Neurospora crassa OR74A: one gene and its partners. The protein of the gene in region 2 purifies or fractionates together with the protein of the main gene of each other region. This does not show direct contact. Links are inferred from orthologs where the notes say so. Each region holds a gene or a part of one and is shown on either strand. Other genes may lie near its edges. The genes, in order: NCU08535, tng and NCU02207.

What was found.
Region 1: the proteins of tng (region 2) and NCU08535 purify together in Saccharomyces cerevisiae (affinity purification with mass spectrometry; 4 studies listed by BioGRID). This does not show direct contact. The link is inferred for Neurospora crassa OR74A from reciprocal best matches to the Saccharomyces cerevisiae genes SIT4 and ACC1.
Region 3: the proteins of tng (region 2) and NCU02207 purify together in Saccharomyces cerevisiae (affinity purification with mass spectrometry, with the first as the bait; 4 studies listed by BioGRID). This does not show direct contact. The link is inferred for Neurospora crassa OR74A from reciprocal best matches to the Saccharomyces cerevisiae genes SIT4 and CCT2.

What each region holds. Positions count from the first base shown.
Region 1 is NC_026503.1:5,002,330-5,008,742, reverse strand, and holds the start of NCU08535 (acetyl-CoA carboxylase), read right to left. Parts: upstream 3,416-6,413; 5' UTR 2,899-3,415; intron 2,552-2,898; 5' UTR 2,352-2,551; coding exon 2,190-2,351; intron 2,127-2,189; coding exon 1,861-2,126; intron 1,799-1,860; coding exon 1-1,798. UniProt on the Saccharomyces cerevisiae protein: Carries out three functions: biotin carboxyl carrier protein, biotin carboxylase and carboxyltransferase. Involved in the synthesis of very-long-chain fatty acid synthesis which is required to maintain a functional nuclear envelope.
Region 2 is NC_026502.1:723,358-729,608, forward strand, and holds tng (serine/threonine-protein phosphatase ppe1), read right to left. Parts: upstream 3,699-6,251; 5' UTR 3,300-3,698; coding exon 3,152-3,299; intron 3,024-3,151; coding exon 2,627-3,023; intron 2,564-2,626; coding exon 2,134-2,563; intron 2,062-2,133; coding exon 1,870-2,061; 3' UTR 1,462-1,869; downstream 1-1,461. Other genes in the region: NCU03435 (hypothetical protein), read left to right, coding at 4,352-4,593, 4,652-6,251. UniProt on the Saccharomyces cerevisiae protein: Involved in the dephosphorylation of the large subunit of RNA polymerase II. Is required in late G1 for normal G1 cyclin expression, bud initiation and expression of certain genes that are periodically expressed during late G1.
Region 3 is NC_026507.1:3,332,722-3,338,809, reverse strand, and holds NCU02207 (T-complex protein 1 subunit beta), read right to left. Parts: upstream 4,915-6,088; 5' UTR 4,667-4,914; coding exon 4,664-4,666; intron 4,589-4,663; coding exon 4,434-4,588; intron 4,354-4,433; coding exon 2,979-4,353; intron 2,919-2,978; coding exon 2,859-2,918; 3' UTR 2,495-2,858; downstream 1-2,494. Other genes in the region: NCU02205 (hypothetical protein), read right to left, coding at 237-409, 572-743; NCU02206 (hypothetical protein), read left to right, coding at 1,675-1,768, 1,889-2,220; un-10 (eukaryotic translation initiation factor 3), read left to right, coding at 5,920-6,088. UniProt on the Saccharomyces cerevisiae protein: Molecular chaperone; assists the folding of proteins upon ATP hydrolysis. Known to play a role, in vitro, in the folding of actin and tubulin. In yeast may play a role in mitotic spindle formation.

The DNA of each region.
Region 1 (6,413 bases), on a different chromosome or scaffold from region 2:
AAGCTGGACGATACCATCCTCCTGGGCAATGAGAGGCATGTACATCTTCATGACCTCGACCTCAGCGAAGGTCTGGCCGGCGCTGACGTGTTCGCCGTTCTCGACGGTGTACTTGACGAGCTTACCGGGAGAGGGGGTGCGCAACTGGGTGGGATCGTTCTCCTGCTCCAGCAGACAGGTCTTGCTATCGACCGACATGCGGGTAGCAGCGACCTCTTCCTTCCAGTAAACGTTGTGACTGCGGCCGTTGAGAAGGATGAGGAGTCCACCATCGCTCAGAGCACGAACGCCGACAGTGCACTTGGAGCCGTTGATGAAGAGATGGTAGCTATCGGCGCTCGACCTGGTGACGGTGAACTTGTAGCGGTAACCCTCGTAGATAAAGTCGACGGGGAAGACAGTCTTGAGGATGTCCTTGGAGGGGACCTGACCCTTCTCAAGGCCAGCACGGTACTCGGTCATGCAGCCTTCGCTCGCAATGTGGGCCTTGGTGACGGCACCGCAAACAACGGCCAGAATGGGGTCGGGACGCTCAGCAGTGAGCTTCTTGGAAATAAGCTCATCGAGCCAGCCGGTAGTGATGGTGTTCTCCTCGAAGGCCTCAGTCTCCAAAAGCTTGATGAGGTACTCGACGGTGGTACGGAAGTCACCGCGGATGCTCAATTCCTTGAGGGCAACGACCATGTGCTTTCGGGAGGCGGCACGGTTCTCGCCATAGGCAAAGATGTGACCGAACTGCGAGTCGGAGAAACTGTGAATACCACCGGCAGAACCGACGGAGAAGTAACCCCAGACGTTGGAGCTCGAACGGAAGTTGAGATCGTGCAACACACCGTTGGATGGCTTGAAACCCTCACCGGGATCCTCGGAGGTGATACGGCAGGCAGTGGTGTGGCCCTTGGGGGTAGGCCTGCGCTGGGTCTTCTCGGACTCGGGGTTCTTGAACTCGAAGTCGATCTCGCTGGCAGTCCTGGGGTCGACGCCGTAGAGCAGTCTGATGTCGCGGATGCGGTGGAGGGGAATACCCATGGCAACCTGGAGCTGAGCAGCCGGAAGGTTGACACCACTGACCATTTCAGTGGTAGGATGCTCGACCTGCAGACGGGGGTTCAACTCGAGGAAGTAGAACTTGTCATCGGCGTGGGAGTAGAGGTACTCGACGGTACCGGCCGAGACGTAACCGACGAGACGACCAAGACGGACAGCAGCCTCCTCCATGGCCTTGAAGGTCATGGGCTTGGCGATGGTGACGGGGGCCTCTTCGATAATCTTTTGATGTCTGCGCTGGACCGAGCAATCTCTGCCGAAAAGGGAGATGTTGTTGCCGTACTGATCAGCAAGAAGCTGAACCTCCAAATGCCTGGCGCTGTCGGCGAGCTTCATGATAAAAATGGGTGAGCCGGGAATTTCGCTAGCGGCAGCGTTGTAGAGCGACTCGAAGTTGTCCTCGTTGAGGACCTTGCGGATACCCTTGCCACCACCACCTTCGGAGGCCTTGATCATTACTGGGAAACCAATTTCCCTGGCCTTTTCCAGACCCTCCTGCCACGAGCTGACGCAGCCCTTGAGGTAAACGTCATCGGGAACCGTAACAATGCCATTGTCGTCGACCTTGACCTCGCTAACACCGGTACCAGACCAAGGGATACAGGGAACGTCGGCGTGCTGGGCAACAATTGTCGAGGAAATCTTGTCACCAAGGGAGCGCATGGCAGAACCCGGAGGACCAATGAAGACAATCTTCTTGGGGGAAGCCGCAAGGGACTCGGGGAGCTTGGGGTTTTCGGAGGCGTGACCCCTATTCGAACAGTCAGTATTTTCATACCATCAACCCCAGAGGCAGGACTCTTGTCTACGCACCAACCAGCCCACACGGCGTGGACATCCATACGCTCGGCAATATCCACGATCAGCTCGACGTTGGCATAGTTGTGGTTATTTGTGCCGCCGGGGACTTCAACATAGTGATCGGCCATCCTGATGTAGTCGGCGTTGGCCTGCAGATCTTCGGGGGTGGCCATAACGGTGAACTTGATGGCGCGCTCGTCGCCGAATGTTTCGTAAGCCCATTTCCTTACTGAGCGAATCTCCTTGACGGCAGCAATACCGTTGTTGGCAATAAGGACCTGGAAAACAAGCAAATGTTAGCGGAATGTGCGTTGGACTGCCGGGAGAGCGAGGAAACGTACGTTGGTGATGACAGTGTGACCATCGTGGGAGGCCACAAAGTCCTTGACCTTGGAGGGAGGGGCATTCTCAAGCCTGTTGCCGCCAATGAAATGGGGGGCCAGGTTGTGCTTGGCGGCATACGAAGCCTGGACGACGGCGTCGCTCGCTGTTGTGTCCGCCATCTTGTCTGTAAATATGTGGTGTTGTTTTGTCGAGTCGGAGGAGTCGTCGTCGTCGTCGTCGTGGATCGAAGGCGGGGAGGAGGAAGCCGCTTTCAATGTTACACTCGGTCGATGTATACCTATTTCCCGAAACAGCCGAATTCAAGTTATCGGTCAGTGGAGTGTTTCGGTTATTCAGCTCGGCTCAGCTAACAAATCGCCTGCAAAAAAAGAATGATGCTGTCAGTTTCCAGCTCCTCGTCGGCAAAGCAAAGATGTGGTGTGGCAGAATGTCGTGAGGCGGGGCAGCTGGTGGTAATTAAGGGTTATGGTACTGTAGTGGAAAGAGACTGGAGTGGCAGGGTGGTGGATGCGGTGGTCGCATCAGCTTTGGTTTGTTGGGTATCGGGGAATTGGGTGTAGAGCGAGTCGAGTTGTGTCCAGTCCAGGCACAAGCAGGAGGGGACTGGGAACATGCTGGCTGTGCTAATGGGCCGGTGCGGTGCTCTGGGAGGGGGAGTGAAGGGAGCTGCCTGCAGGTGCAGTGAACGCAGAGAGGAACACTCACCGAGTCAAGTTGTCGTGGAGAAGTTGGAAAGTGGGTGGAAAATTACGACAGAAGCCGCACGGGGTATCTCTGCAGGGATGTAAGGGGAAAGTGTGTGTCGTGCGATTGCTCGATCAATGTCGACGTCAACAATAAACAATCGAGTCGAGGCTGCTTAGCAAGAGGCTGAGCAAGAAGGAGAAGGTGCAGCAAGAAAAGTGAAGATCTTGACGGAGCAAACCAAGATGGATGGAGTGGTGCTGGCTGGAGGAGGGAGGATTTGCCGCACGCGATTGCCTTGGTCAAAAAGGTCTTGGTACCTTAAGGTAGAGAGAGAAGAGTGGGAGGAAGGAGGAGAGGAAGACGACGTGGAGGGACGACGAAATTCCTGAAGCTAAATTGGACGAGGACGGCAAGACCAGACCACAGGACCAGAGGGAGCGAGGAGGAGTGAAGGGACGAAGCAACCTGGAAGGAGGCGACCGGAAGAGGGCGACAGGAACCTTTTGATACTTGAAGCTGGAGGGGCAAGAGCGAGCAGACGGCCGTGAAAGATTCGTTGTAATGCCGCGGTATTGCGTCCGAACTTTCCAAATGGGCGACTTCGAGACACCAACTTTGCGGGTTTGATGGGAAAATCGCAGCCACAAGTGGGGCAATTGGGTACAGGTACACCACATGTACTTCTTCCACTTGCGCCCACACTCAACCTCAACTCCAAAACAATACAAGGACCGAGAGCGAAACGGGATGAACTCGGACAACTCAAGTCAGTCCGTTCTCTTTCGATAATGCATAAATACCTACTTGATACCCCCCATCTCTTCCTTCTTGCTTTCATCTTTCTGCTCTCCTGGAGTTGAGTCGTTGCTGCTCTGATGTCCATGTCCCCCACTGCGACATTTCAACCCCGCCAAATGGTATCGCTATCGAGGCCAATCTTGCCATTTGCTCCCGCCTGCCTATCCAAGGCGGTGGATGGCATCAAGGTGGGATTCGCCCTTCAGATTCGGCAAGGTTTGGGAACCTTTGGGGTTCAGTTCGTCAATTGGAGAAGCCAGGGGCAAGTGCCAAGCCGGTTCGCCCAAAAAAAAGGCGGAAAGGGAGGGAGGGGTAGATTTAGCCAAAGCGATGCCGAAGGTGGGTTCCAATTGAGAACTGTCAGCAATCACCCAATCACGGACGTCGATTCTCACCCGAACGGGATCGTTGGGGAAGGCCCACTGCTCCAATCACAATGTCAGGAACCGAGGCGACTGCCCAACCACACCTTTGCCAATCGTCAGCTTCGTACGCCGAATACACACGACCTCGAGTCGTTCTTACAGCTTTTTGTTGTGTCCACAAGTTCTCATATAGCAGCGAATTGATTTGATTCTTCTTGACGTCTACACTACTTTGATAGACAAAAGACATTGATGTTGCTGCTCGGACTGACCCGGGAATCCCCCGCTACGTACTGTACTGACCGATGGTCTTGTCTCACGAAGCACGGCCCAAAGTCCGGATGCAGTCATTTTCACGCCGCAGACGGACGTGATTCAGAGTTGCTGTAGTCATGACATCTGTAGCCGCTCTGTTTCTCTTTTTCACCTTATTAGACGCCCTTCTGCTCTTGCCCTTCCATTGACTTCCATCTTCGTTCAAATCAGCATGATGGCCCGCCTGTTTCTTGTCTTACGCCATACCGCAGCTCAGATGATGTCCGTCACAACGCTTGCAGTCTTCCACACCCAACCTCCAGCCCACATCGCAATTTAAACACGGATCCAGCACAACACAACAACCGAATCATGGGGATCATGGACCTTAACTTCCCATGTTGTCATTAGCTTGTCCGTGGGGCTCCGGCGTTCAAAAGACCGGCCGACCGAAAGCTGACGTCTAGTGCGACATGGGCGCATGTAACCTCCGGTCAATACCCCGGTGGAACGTGGGGAGAATGGCAAGACAATGAATGGTTTGAAGAGGCCAACACAAGGACAACACTGGCGATGACAGGCTTCCAAAACGAACATTGGCGGCTGACTGAATGATATGGCCGTCCTCTCAATGAAGCTAACAGACATCGGTTTAGTCTCGTACATACGGCGCGCAAAAGTCAATGTCCGATGATGAAAAGTCACCGAAAGTGGTTACATAGGGTACGTGCTTAGTCCATCTCATTCCGGGCTGTCAGGGACTCGGGGTGCACCTCCACCCCAAAGCGAAGTGGCGTCGGGTGGGTCACACGGTAACGGCATGTATGAAAATTACGATGAGATCTTCGGTACGTACCCCTAAGATTTGTTGGGTTCGCAAAAACCTTGTGCGGAAACCCCCCGACAAGGCCGAACCTCCCCGCGTGAGACGGAGGGTTGAACATGGAACAATTGAACGAGCCTCGCCTTGAAAACAACCAAAATATCTTCACCCACTGAGGGGTTGAACGGGACGACCAAGGATTGTGTTCGGCTGGCGAGGTTCAGCGCCTTTTCAGGGGATCGGCACAGCAGCAAACGAAAATGTTAGTGCGGGCGCCGGGCCCCGCAGATCCCCAACATGTTGTCCGCGTCCGCGGGAACGGCACCCTTACATGGCCCTAACAAGTCTGCTTTTGCTGCCTTGAAATCAACCCTTTGGCCCGAGCGCACATTCGCTTCTTTTGTTGACGGCAGAGAGATCGAGTTTTTTCCTTGCTATCGAAATGGTTCTGACTCGCCAAAATGAGGGTATTGACAACTCACTATATTGCACCCCCACAGCCATAGGCGCCTCCTCCGCAAAAGGGGGCAGTGTTTTTAATCGATGCGCAGCTTCATGCTTTCTGATGGGTGATCCGTGCGCATCAAGGTACCACAGGCCAGAAAATGGATGCCCCAGGGGGGGGGGGGCTCCCGGACGTGCAGATTCGCCAACAGTTTCCTGGACCTGGGGACGTTGTTCAAGGCCCGCGGAATCCGAGGAAGAGACGAACGGTCTTTTCCACGAGCTTGATATTGACCTCACGGCTTTGGTTCGGTACTTGCCGAATTCCCTCAACAGACCAACCTTTGGCCACATACTTTCGAACGAGATAACAATATCCGTGCGACAACCACATCGGCGGCTTTTTGAGACTGGTGCGCCCAGCAAAAGAGCCCAGCAGAATGTGGATGGGGAGACCCCCCATGTCGGGCCGCCCCGTGATCCCTTGCATGTTCGTACCGTTCACTCCCATCGTACACAGGGAGTACTGTAGAGGGATTTGCCGTCATGACTCTCCACGACCTCAGCATCCATCTTTATCACAAACAAAGAGACAGAAAACAGCCATCATCCATCAACAGCTTTAAATATCAAACGTCTCTAAAAAAAATTATATTCCAGATCTTCTTTCCCACGCACAGAGGCTAACAAGGCCCGTCCCGACTTTGGATGATGTCGTGTCGTCCATCCCCTGGTCCCCCGGATTTTTAGGTTTGTCGTGACCCACTTTGCGCCTCTCACCTTGACATCAAAATCGTACGATTTTTTTTTTTCTGTTTCTCTTCTGGTCCAGCCAGCCAGCCAGCCCT
Region 2 (6,251 bases):
ACTACTGGTTTATCACAGCGTATAGTAATCAAAGTCTTCAGGTCAAGGTCGCAAATACTGATCTTAACCTAGGTATGTTTTTCCGGGTTCGCTTCGTTTCCGACGACGCGAAAACCTCAACTACACCACGTTAGTTCCCATGATAGGTTTAATTACATATGAACTTCAGTCATCATCGGTATTACACGAAGGCGTGGTTCACAAGTGATGCCAAAAGAGAATGATAGAGTGAGCAACTGGTTGCTGGACAGAGCAACAGTACGTAACGATTAACGACAGTCTTATCAAAGGAAGCAAAAGACAAGACCTGTCACGAGCCTCAACCTAGGACCTCGTACACGACTTCGCTAAGTATGAACAGAATAGACTATAGGTTGATATAATATTAACTAATAATCCATCCACCTTAACAGATATTGACGGGACGAGCACTCTTATATGACAGAAGCTATGCGCTCTGCCGAGCGGCTGAACATCTTCTATGCTATGGAGTTCTATTCTCGTCATCTCAGTGACCTATCATTACAAGCCTAGTGTACACCTTTCTATTATACATACCAGACGCCATCTCAGCATCCCTTAGTGAGCTTAACTGCCTGTCAAAATAGACTTGTCTTCAAATCCCATCTCCTCCAGCTCGTTAGTAACGACGAACATCAAACATTAAACCTATCATTTACCTTTTCGTTACGTACATGGATCAAAGAAAGTTATAATGACGCTTCAGTTAGAAGGGACATTGAGAATTCGTCGTTCTGGATTCGGGGAGGGAGCAAGGGCATGCTGCTGTTGACTGGCGTGTCTCAAAAGAATCTAACCTCATGACAGGCCAGAGGTAAGTAGGGTACAGATTACAAAGACAATAAAAGCAAACATAAAGAAATGGGGCATCACTGGCTGTTTTTGTCTGAACGAAGTCATCAATACATAATATAGATCTCAATCGCAGTCTGGATTAGGTAAAACCAATTAGAAGAAGAGTGCAGTGGTAGACGGACGAGTGTCCTTTGATACTACTGACTGAGATACAACGAAGTGTCTGTCTTCATAGTATATGTCTACACCTCTGCCAGCACCGCACCAGAATAATGTGGCTGATTTCAGTTGTGCTAGGTATTATAAACCCATGAAAGAAAGTAAGACAAGTACATACGACCATACCCACTGGAAAACTCGGGATCCCGTCCGCTCTCCCATAGATAAGCCAGTGAGGGCCAGACTAGTAGTTGGGTCGGTGACGACCAGCGAATCCCTGGTGTTGTATGTTTTTTTTTTCTCCTTAGTTTCCCGTCCTTTTTCTTCGTTTCCTCTTACCTTTCATGTTCGTTCATGCCCGTGACCTCGAGGGTCAGCTCTTGCACTGGCTCTGGCTATTTGTTGGATGTTGGTGACAAGAGAGGCCTTGTATTGTTGGGAGCCAATCAAGAGATCGAAACAATCACGCACAGACCACAATCTTGTGTTTTGGTTGTCTCCAGTTGCCCCTATTATTTGTGTTTAGCCAAAATCATCTTCCCTGCGACTCTCCCTTCATAGCTATCATCAAGTCCGCCACTTCGCTTTGGTGTTGGCTCCAACACTTAATGATTGAACAACGGTAAAAGCCATAACAACGGGATAGTGGTCGCTGGCACTTTCATAGCCTCATTCTGGCACTTGAAACACAAAATTGGGTAGTATAACGCCTCGGAAACGCCAAGTATAAATCCCAGGCAGAATGTCATACATGAAAATTAGGATCCTTGGAGTGGTTGCCACCAATTCCCGACGACAAAACGTGACCTGCCCATAACGCAACGACATGCTTTCTTGACAACAAGACAATCATAACACCGCCCTCTCACCTCACCTCGCGCCCTCGATGTTCTGTCATAGGAAGTAGTCACCCAGCCCCCTTCGGCCTGCGGGGATATGCCGTTGATCGTCTGGCACGGCCGAGAAGATGCTGAACTTTGTGTTTTGGTCGCGGTCCACCGTCATGATGGATGCGACGTTACCGCAACGGTAACAGTAGTTGGGTGCCGACCATACGGTTACGACCGACTTTTCGGCAAAGTGGAACTAGATGAGAAACGCAGGTTAGCTGGCATTCCTTCTCATAACTGTGGAGAGCAACAAAAAGTGATGACCCACCTTGTAACCCTCATTTACCAGCTGATGCGCTCTTGCAATGGTTGTCAAACCGTTGACGTGGTTGAACTCTGTCGCGACCTTGTCTCCGAACAGCCAACCAGCGCCACGTGGACTGACAGCCCATGTATCGACGTCTTCTGGGTCACTCCACACAAGATCGCAGAAAGCACCCTCGTGCGGAATCTCCTGAGCACGCGCAACGACGCGGATCTGGTCAATCGTGCGGATCTCGGGACTGAGACCGCCGTGGACGCAGAGAACGGTACCGTCGACAATGGCGGCAAGAACAAGAAAGTCAAACACTTGGCAGCAAGCCTTCCAGACAGAGGCGTTGCCGTACTTTTGCTGGCACTCCTCGTAGAAACCGTAGACCTGGGTGATTTGTCGGGACTCGTGATTACCGCGCACTAGAACAATGCGATCTGGGTATCTGTTGGGCGAAAAGTGTCAGCAGCGTGAACCGAACCAGAACTAGAACGGGGGGCCTTCGTACTTTGCCTTGAGACACATGAGAAGGGTAAATGTCTCTAAACTGAAGTACCCTCTATCCACGAAATCTCCGAGGAAGACGAAGCGAGTATCGGCCGATTGAGAGCCCGTGTTGGCGCTGGATTGGGGGGTCTCTTCACTTGGGGATTCCTTCTCGCTTCCAGCCCCAGCCTCACTGTCTGTACTGCTCTTGATCTTCTTCTTGAGGTTGGGATCTGTGATTTCCGTTGGGGGCTCGATGTCCTCGGATGTGATGACGGTTGTTGCGGTCTTGGGCGCCTGGACGTTTGTCTCACCGGGCATGCCACCAGCAACGCGAAAGAGTTCGAGGAGATCGTAGAATTGGCCGTGAATATCACCGCAGATGGTGACTGGCGTAACAACAGGCTGGATGTTCGATTCTGATGACGTGGGGACACAAGTCAGCTGGACAAGTTCCCTTGTCGTGCGCGCCTTGGGAACACGGGATGCGAACGCGCGCGCGCGCGCGGGCATGTGTAATCCTGACTAGTAGTTGGTGCTCAAGTACCTTCCATAAGAACTTCCTTGACAATTTCGCAGAGCTGCTTCATGACAGGCTCAGGAAGGTAATGACATTGTTTCGCCTCCTCCAGCCACTCATCTAGACCGGCTCCGGGACGAAGATTAGCCGGACCCGGCTTTGGAATCGTGGACATGATGGTTGTATATAATCGGACTCGAGCCTTTTGGTGTACGGGCTGTAGTTGCAAGATGGGCGAGCAGCGAGCAGCGGGCGAAATATCTTATCAATCGAAGGGATGCTTGTGTAAGGCTGCGATGGAACTTGGGTTCCGCAATTGTTAATGTCGCTAGATGAATCGCGGGTCGCAAGGATTCGTGATTGAAGGGTCCTGGGGCCACCAAGTGCAAGTGGGAGGGCACTGCTAGACTTAAGTTGTGTTGTCGGGTGTGTTGGGTTGTTGTTTGTTGTTGGGATGAAATTCTAAGGATGACGACGATGCCGAGCGCGGGATCTGGATGGCTGAGGTGAGGTTGAATGGATGGGGCTGGAATCAACCTCGACCTCGACCTCGAACTGTGACCGGGCGGGCAGCCTGCCACCCACCCACTGGAAACCTACTGGTACTGTGAAGGTACTGCGTGGGACCCGTGGCCAACTGCGGTTTGCCAGTGGGCGAGTGCCCTGAATGGATTGCGCTGCAGGCCAAATCACGCGCGCACATTGGCGCCGAGAGCTGCCCCCCTCAGCCGCTGTGGGTCTGTGCACTCCCTTAAAGCAAACGAAGTTCTGGATCCCCGGAATTGCGGGGCACTTGGATTGTGGATTTCTTATCGAATCCGATAAGGCTGAGCGGTAGGTACCGCCGTACCTTAAAGACCAAGCTCCACCCTTTCCACTTCACTCAGCAATCGCATCCCGTCATTGCTCTTTGGATTTGTTACCCGAAACACTCATCCAACACCGCTCGCGCCAGCCGCGCCCTCCACTCTCACCAACATCGACAGCTTGATGTAAACTGTCGTTTCTCCAAAGACGGAGTCTCCCATCACGACACGAGCCCCCGCTGGTCTCGACCACCAGTACTTAGTACGCCGACAGACAGCTCTATCAACCACCGATAGACAATCATTCCGCCAATACTGTGAGCGAAGCATGAGGCTGTGATTTCTACACTAGCTCGAGACTCCACCCAGAAACTACACATACCCCGACCATTCCAAGCCACGGTAGCTTCAAAATTCAACCATGATGGCGGCGCCCCAGCTGCTTCTGCGCAAACCTAATGGCACCGCTGCCGGCCAGGCCACCAATGATGCCCAGAACGCACCCAAGACCAAGCCTCAGTCCGAGGGCGAAAAGGTGGTTGTCCGTCGACTTCCTCCCCTGCTAACCGAAGAAGAGTTCTTCAAAATCCTCGGCGATGAATGGAAAGTCGGCCATGGCAAGGTTGACTGGTTTTCATACTGGCCTGGCAAGAGCTCCCAGCAGTAAGTACATCACCGCAGCTTCTCCCCAACGCGCTTCTCACACAATCATGTGTCACAGTCCCTCACGGCCATCTCGACCCTCCCGCGCCTATATTCACGTTATCAGGAAAGATGACCTTTTAGTGCTCTCACAAGCTGTACAGAATGGCGTTTGGGAGGACGCCAAGGAATCATACAACGACCCGGTCCTGAACCTGCCGCCCACAGTCGAGTTGTCGATTCACAAGAAGATCCCTAGCGACAAGAAAAGGGTGGATAACCGCCAAGGCACTATCGACCAGGAGCCTGAGTTTATGGCCTTTCTTGAGAGCCTTGCCAATCCCGATGCCCACAAGACTACAGATACCGCCGGTGAACCGAATGCCGAGGAAACATCAGCCAAGCCCGAAAAGGTCACCACCACGCCACTCGTCGAATATCTTAAGGAGAAGAAAGCACAGAGAGCCAAGGAGGCGGCACTTGCCCGGAGCGCCAAGCAACATGCTCGACAGGAATCGCAGGGAGGAAAGACCAAGACTGCCACCGCGACTATTACTCTGGAGGAGTTGAAAAAGCGGGCTAGAGAAGCCAAGGGCGAGAAGACGGATAAGGTTTCAGAGAAACCGAGGGACAATGTCAAGATTTTGACAAGAAGGGGCGCATCAAGTGCTGCAGCGGAAGCCGCCAAAGCTGCCAATACGGTTGCCAGCCAGATCCAGGACAACGCCCGGTCCAGCTCAAAGGCCGACTCCCAGACCAAGGCCGCCCAGAGCTCGTCACAATCCGCCACTCAGTCGACTCCTTCCGGCGACGCAACATCGGAGCTACCCAAGAGTCGACGGGCAGGCATCGCCGCAGCAGCACGCATCTTACAACGTGACCTGGGCCTCAGCCCGGGCAACGCTCACAGAAAGGCACGTCAGGAGGCAGCAAAGGCTGAGGCTGACGCAAAGGCCAGCGCTGCTGCTACTGCCAGTGCCAATGCCAGTGCTGCCAAAGAAACTGCATCCAGGGAGAAGAAGGAGAAGGAGACAACTCCTGCGCCGGCTAGCTCTGAACGCTCTTCGACGCCCGCCAATGCTGCCGACTCTTCGGCTGTTGCATCGCCTTCGGCGTCTGCTAGGGGACGAGAGTCAGCCTCCGGAAGAACGCGCGGAAGGAGAGGCCGAGGTGGGACTACAGAGGAAGGATCAAAGTCAAAGGGAACAGATGCCGGCAAGGAGACCAAACCTGCTGAGGTCGCGACACCACAACCGCCAATCAAGCCAACAATGATTCTCAAGAAGAGGGATTCCACACAGGCGACTCCATCTGCACTCTCGACGCCTTCGACGCCTGTAAATGCCCAATCGCCGGCCTTATCAGCCTCGCAAAAACCTAGTTCTCCCAAGCAGCCTTCCACTGGAGGCAGGCAAAGGGGTGGTGGCCGCGGAGGCGAAGCTAAAGAGAACGTCCAGCCCGGTAACAACACAGCCAACACCCCATCCACTCCGGCCCCCACAGGTCCAACCCAAGCCTTCATCAAGCACGCTCACCAAACACAGGGCGTCACCGAGTCAACACTACGCGAGGCTCTGCAAGCCTTCGGCGCCATCAACTCCATCGATTTGCGAAAGAAGGGCTTGGCCTACGTCGACTTTGCGGACCCCGAGGCGCTGAAGAAGGCTATAGCCTCGAGT
Region 3 (6,088 bases), on a different chromosome or scaffold from region 2:
GAATAAGAAAGAGCATCGTTACCAAGTGGCCCGTCGTACGCGAAAGGCTCCAAGATGTAAAGTGGACTGGAATGTTAGATGGCCAAGTCTAGATGCAGGGACGAGTGTTGATTCAGAACTCCAATACCGAGGTGAATGTGTACGATATGCTGGAACATCCCCAGTTCAGTGCGGCGTGGGATATTCAAAACAATGTCTTGCGTTGAGGAAGGAGGGTAGGAAGAGACAAGAGAAAGCTATCCTGGAACTCTTCGCAGAGCGTGGACGGTGATGCAGTAATATATCCGTGTAGAGGTACCTATCAGCAAGGCTGCAAATACAAGAATTCTCATAGAGGAGAGGAAGAGGTTAGGAACGACCTGCATGATGCACTCCCATGACATCAAGTTGTCGTGTTCAGTTCTTGTTGCTAAACAAATGCGGTACCAAGAGTCCACATGTAGGTCAAAAGACGAGTGGCATTCCAGACAAGTTCATCTCAGCTGGAAACCCTTTCCACCTATGTACTACTGGAGGACTTTTAGCCAGTCTTTCCTCGCTTGATGCGACACGAGCCTCATGTCCTACTTACTACGAGAATGGGCGTGGATAGCCACCATCTCGGGACCGAGCCTGGTCGCCAATGAGATGCCAAACAACCCGAGCAGGAAGAGACGGAAGGAAGACTTCTTCTCTGCGTCCTTGTAGAAAGTGTTTCCATCTCCCTCACCCGAAATCCCGAATTGGTACATTTGAGCTGACATTGTCACATTATTCCGTGCAAGACTGGATCCGCGCGCTCGTCTAATACGCCGTCCCTTTATCACAAAACTCTATTAATACTCGAGCATATTTTGCGGTGAATCTTCGCACAACATAGCCATGTTTCACATACAGGTCCTCCAGTCGGTGTCAAGGACAATTCGTCCACCATTTGACTATACGGCCCGTATGCATCCAAATTACACAAGAAGACCGGAATCAATTCTAGAAGACAAGGATTTCCACGACTTACGCGGCTTCAGGCGACTAAACAATGCTGTGTCTCCGGACTCCCGAATTCATTAGCGGATTACCCCACGGCACGACGAACTCAAGGCGAGGCGTGGTATCTCAAGGGAAGAGAACAATTGGTAGTCTTGTTCGTGACTACTACTACGGCGCAGCAATCTGCCTTCCGTTCGGTGACGAGGTCTTGATGAAGCTCCGGGCTGGGCCTCCTCCATGCCGGTCCCCGGAATCATCCCATCGTCCCGATTCGGTCTTCATCATGTCCCGCTCTCCGCCAAACCAAAGGTTTCGAACCTTCCCCAAAAATACTACTGAAGCAGCCAAGCAATTCGCAGTACCTGTAAGTGAGTAGCATTTGCTGTCTAAGACAATTTGTTGCAGCTGTTTCCTTGGTCCGGGACTTCGGTCACCGGTGACAATCGTTACAGATTGTCCGACATACACAACGACGGGAACGACGACGGCTTTCCAAGCCTCACTTCAATACAACTGGAAGGAGAGCTCCAGTCATGGTCAGAAATGGCTCTCGAGTAAAGCAACGAGATATATGAATCCCCACGATACTACTATCCCAAGTACCAAGGCTTGCCCATCTTCTCTAGCAGTCAAAGCATAGAATTATAGGAACAATCCCACCAACCTAAAGCTATACCCCCAAGTGCAACTCACTACTTAGCTATCATCATGTCCACCGCCGCCGCAATCCCCATCGCTTCCTTCGGCAACAACCCCGAGGTCGCTCAAGCCATTCGCGAAAAGCTCCTTCCAGAATATGACGGTTCGTCCATCCCTTTCTCCTTTCCACTACGTTCACACCCATTCCCCATTAGTATATCTACATCCACCTTCCACGTAATTACTCACCCAAACTAACCTCCCCGTTCCCCTCCCCTACTAGTCGTCCACACAACCCTCACCCTCTCCACCTCCCTCTCGGAACTCCCCCCTCTCTGCACCGGCACCTTCTCCCACCTCCCCTCGTCAAACCTCGGCTCCAACGCCACGGCCGCCACCCCAGCCGACCTCAAGGTGCCCAAGGCCATCATCTTCGGCGGCGGCGTGTCCCCCTCGGACGCCGAGCAAGTCAAAGAAGCGGTGCTGGCCAAGAACCCAGACATCAAGTTCGTCCGACTCACGCGGGAGGATATGGTCGCCGCGGGGGCCGAGGGGCCGGATCCCGAGGTGATTGGACGCTTGTTGAAGGAGAGGTTGGCCGAGGCTTTGGCTTGAGGCTTGAGGCTTGGGGAAAACAACTGAACCTAAGTACTTGGCTCGTGTTTGGTGTAGTTCGGGATGGGGCTTGCTAGTATGCTGGATATGATGAAGGAGGATGGAATGCTCTTCAGTGGGAGTTTTTATTTCAAAGGGTATAGGTGACTAGGTCAGGTTGGGATGAAGTGTTTGAAAGGGGGGTCGAATGAAGGATTGGAGGGAGGTTTCCTACCAGAAGCTGTAGGAAGTGTGTTCCTAACGTTGACAGTCATGAAAATATGACACTCCTTCCCTGATGTTTCGTCGAATAACGTTGAATGAGGTAATATCGGCATGCATCTGAATGGACGATTGGTGGATCTCTCTCCGACACAGAAAAAGGTAGAATATTACATACACGATGAAAGGCTGGCTAGTCAAGTTAGGCGGCAGACATGAGATGGCGTGGTTATTAGTTTTGGGTCTCTGCTATATCAGTTGTGGCATCATTTGGCGCACGGCATGACATCGTGGTCTGACATCAACAAGAATCAAAGGTCGGGCTAGTATTGGGACGGCGAGACCACACACCATCAAGCATTCAGCACTGCTATGCTCAAGGTCATTTACATAGTCTGCTCTCCACCAACTCTCCTCGTCCATCAAAAAGTACGAGTTTAGTGCCTCTCCCGCCTCCTGGGGGCCGCTCTTATTATGTCGTCCACACGCAAAAGCAACTATTCACGATGGTTAGCATGCTCAAAGCCGTATTCAGCATTGAAATAGGGGTTACATACCTCAGCGGCTTCACTGGCCGAAGAAACAACAGCCTTCTTGAGCTTGTAACTCTCAATAACACCCAAGTCTCTCATATCGGCAATACCGCCGCCTGGTGTCATGAGATCCAAACCATAGGTGGTCAGACCGTCATAGATAGCCTTGCGCAAACGGGCAACAAGGTCGCCAGAATCGAGACCAGCGTTGTCAGCCAGGATGGTAGGCAGTTGCCTGAGAGCAGTGGCGAAGGCAGACACAGCGGTCTGTTTCTTGCCCTCAACCCGAGTAGCAGCACCCTCAACAGCCTTGGCCATAACCATCTCAGCGCATCCACCACCCAGTGTTGTCCTGGACTCCTTAACGGTCTGTGAAAGAACGGCAAGAGCGTCGTGCAAACTTCTCTCGGCTTCGTCAAGCAACTGATCGGTAGCACCGCGGAGAACGACAGTGCAAGCCTGGCCGGCAGCCGTGCCGGAGAATCTGATAAGGGTATCCTCGCCAATAATAATCTCCTCAATCAAGTCGGCATATCCAAGCTTGACCTGCTCCGGGTGGTCGAAGGTAGAAGCGATTTCACCGCCGGTAACGAGAGCAAGGCGCTCAATGCCATCGAAATCGGCATGCTCGATCGACATGATGCCGGCATCGGTGAACAGCTGCTCGGGCCAGTTGTAAATCAACTGCCTGTTGATGAAGCAGTTAATGCCGTGCGCCTTGATCTTCTCAACCTTGGCCTTCATCTTCTCCTTCTCGGCCTTCTCAAGCTCGGCGAGCTTGCTGGTAGAGTTGACCTTGACGCGCGCACCAAAGATCTTGACCTTGTCGGTATCCATCGATGTGTTGGCAATAAGGATCTTGGCCTTCTCGAGGCGCTTGGGCTGATTGACACCGATCTTCTTGTCGAGAATAAAGCCATCGTCGAGATATGATTCGCTGAGCTTGCCACCGGACTTCTTGATGATCTGGATGTGGCTAAGGTCGGCGGAACCCTTCAGGCGCAGAATGGCCTCGGTCGCGAGCTCGGCAAAGTGGTCTCTGTCTTGGGCAAGAATCTTGGAGCTGAGTGTCGTGCGCGCGATGGCGACAAGGTCTTTCCTGAACGCCTCGGGGTTGCTGCTGTGGTCAACGGCAGAGTCCTCGAGGGCCTTGAGCGCAGCCTGGCTAGCTATCCGGTAACCCTCGATGATAGTCTGAGGGTGGATCTTCTTGTCGACAAGCTTCTCGGCCTCGCGCAAGAGCTCGGCGGCAAGGACGGCAACCGAGGTGGTGCCATCACCGACTTCGTCGTCCTGGACCTTGGAGATGTTTACGAGGACCTTGGCAGCGGCGTTGTCGAGAGCGATAGACTTGAGGATAGTAGCACCGTCGTTTGTTACTAGAATCTCACCGGTCGAGCTGGATGTTGTGATGGTGCGGTCAGCACATGACGGCGGCGTGTCAAGCATGTAGGCGGGGGGTTTGGTGAACAAGCATACGCAGACTGGAGGATCTTGTCCATGCCCTTGGGACCAAGGGTGCTCTTGACGAGGTCGCCAACAGCAATGGCGCCGACGAAGGCGCTGAGACGGGCATTCTCTCCCTTCTCTTCTGTGGTGCCCTCCTCGAAGATCTGGGTGGGGCTAAACGAGGCCTGGAGATGGTCAGGCGGTTGGTTAGTTACGGTGAGCTCGGAAAGATGCCCAAAGTGATGTACAAATCAACTTGCCATGATGTAGAAGAAGCTTAAGTATTAGACAAAAGGTCGGGGATACGGGGTGCACAGGGGGTTGAGGTTGGAAGAGAAGAAGAAGCAATTGAAGCTTGGTAGTACTATATTTTGGGTGGACGTTATGGATACCCTGAACGCGAAGCCTCCTTTCTACAACAATCTGCCAGCAGCGGGACGGATGATGCTCTTCTGAATTCCAGGCACTTTTTGGACGGCAGGCCACGGCAAAATTCCAGAGCTTCCTGTTCCTCCTTTACCTCACCGCCTGCGACAGGTGGCATAAAATGCTTGTCACTCGCATGCCAGGCCGTCTGCCCCTCCTTTGACAGACAAAATGTCCACTTGAGGTGAGTGGGCAGCAGGGGACCCCACTTGGACGTCTTCCGTGGGGAAGGAAGAAAGGGGGGGGGAGGGGAGCTTTGGGCTGGCAGCGGCGGCGGCGGCGGTGGATAGTGGTGGACAGCGCAGCCAGCACTTTGAGAAGCGAGGAGCCCAGGGGACTACCGTCGAGGCTCAAAGCCAAGAGGAAAGGGAACCTGAGTCGGTGCAACGAACGAACCGCAACCTTCAGTCCACTTCTTGACTTCAAAGTGATGGCAACTTGAAACCTGTAAACTCTGCTGAAAGCGGACAGACGTTGCCATGGTCAATATTGGTTCCGTGCACAAACGAACAATGCTTAGCCCACTGCCTGCCGCCATCATTTTGTTAAAAAGAAAGGAAACCGAAAAAGTTGTAGTTGATGAAGAATAGAGACAGCATCGAGAACTTGACTTTCCCAGGCTGAGTGTTCATTGCGACTGTGCAATATCCATGATATCTGAGGCTCCGTCTTCTTTAACCTCCAAACTATCCACCCCATCATTGCATTCACTGACATAAATTCCCATTTTGGCGATTCCAGAGAGAGGGGATCTGGTAGGGTAGCCAATCAACGTGCATTATTGCCTCCTAAAGTGGGGCATTCCCTTCACTGTCTTCCCTGGTTCTCTGGCCGTTCTCACTGAACCCCACCACAATCTGCGCGCTGCGCACAAATTCTCACAATAATCCTGACGACCGCATAAGCCAGCACGTTGTTCCGCCCGCGGCATCGCAGAAAAAATCCGAAGCGGCCAGCCCAGAATCCCGTCATCCACCAAGTCCAACCACCACCACCACCACCAGAGGCGCCTTCCCGACCCGTACATCGCCAGCTACCACTAATCCCCGGCACCCACCAAGCATAACAGACTGCCGATTAATTGCCCAGCATGGCGCCCTCTTTCGACCACCTCCGCGACGAGGACCTCGACGAGGATGACTTCGATGTTGATGAGGTCGACATTTCCGATATCCGCGAGAAGTACGAGGTTCAGCTTGAGCAGGGCTACGATGCCTTTGTCGTTGTCGACGGCCTCCCCGAGGTCAACGAGGAGCAAA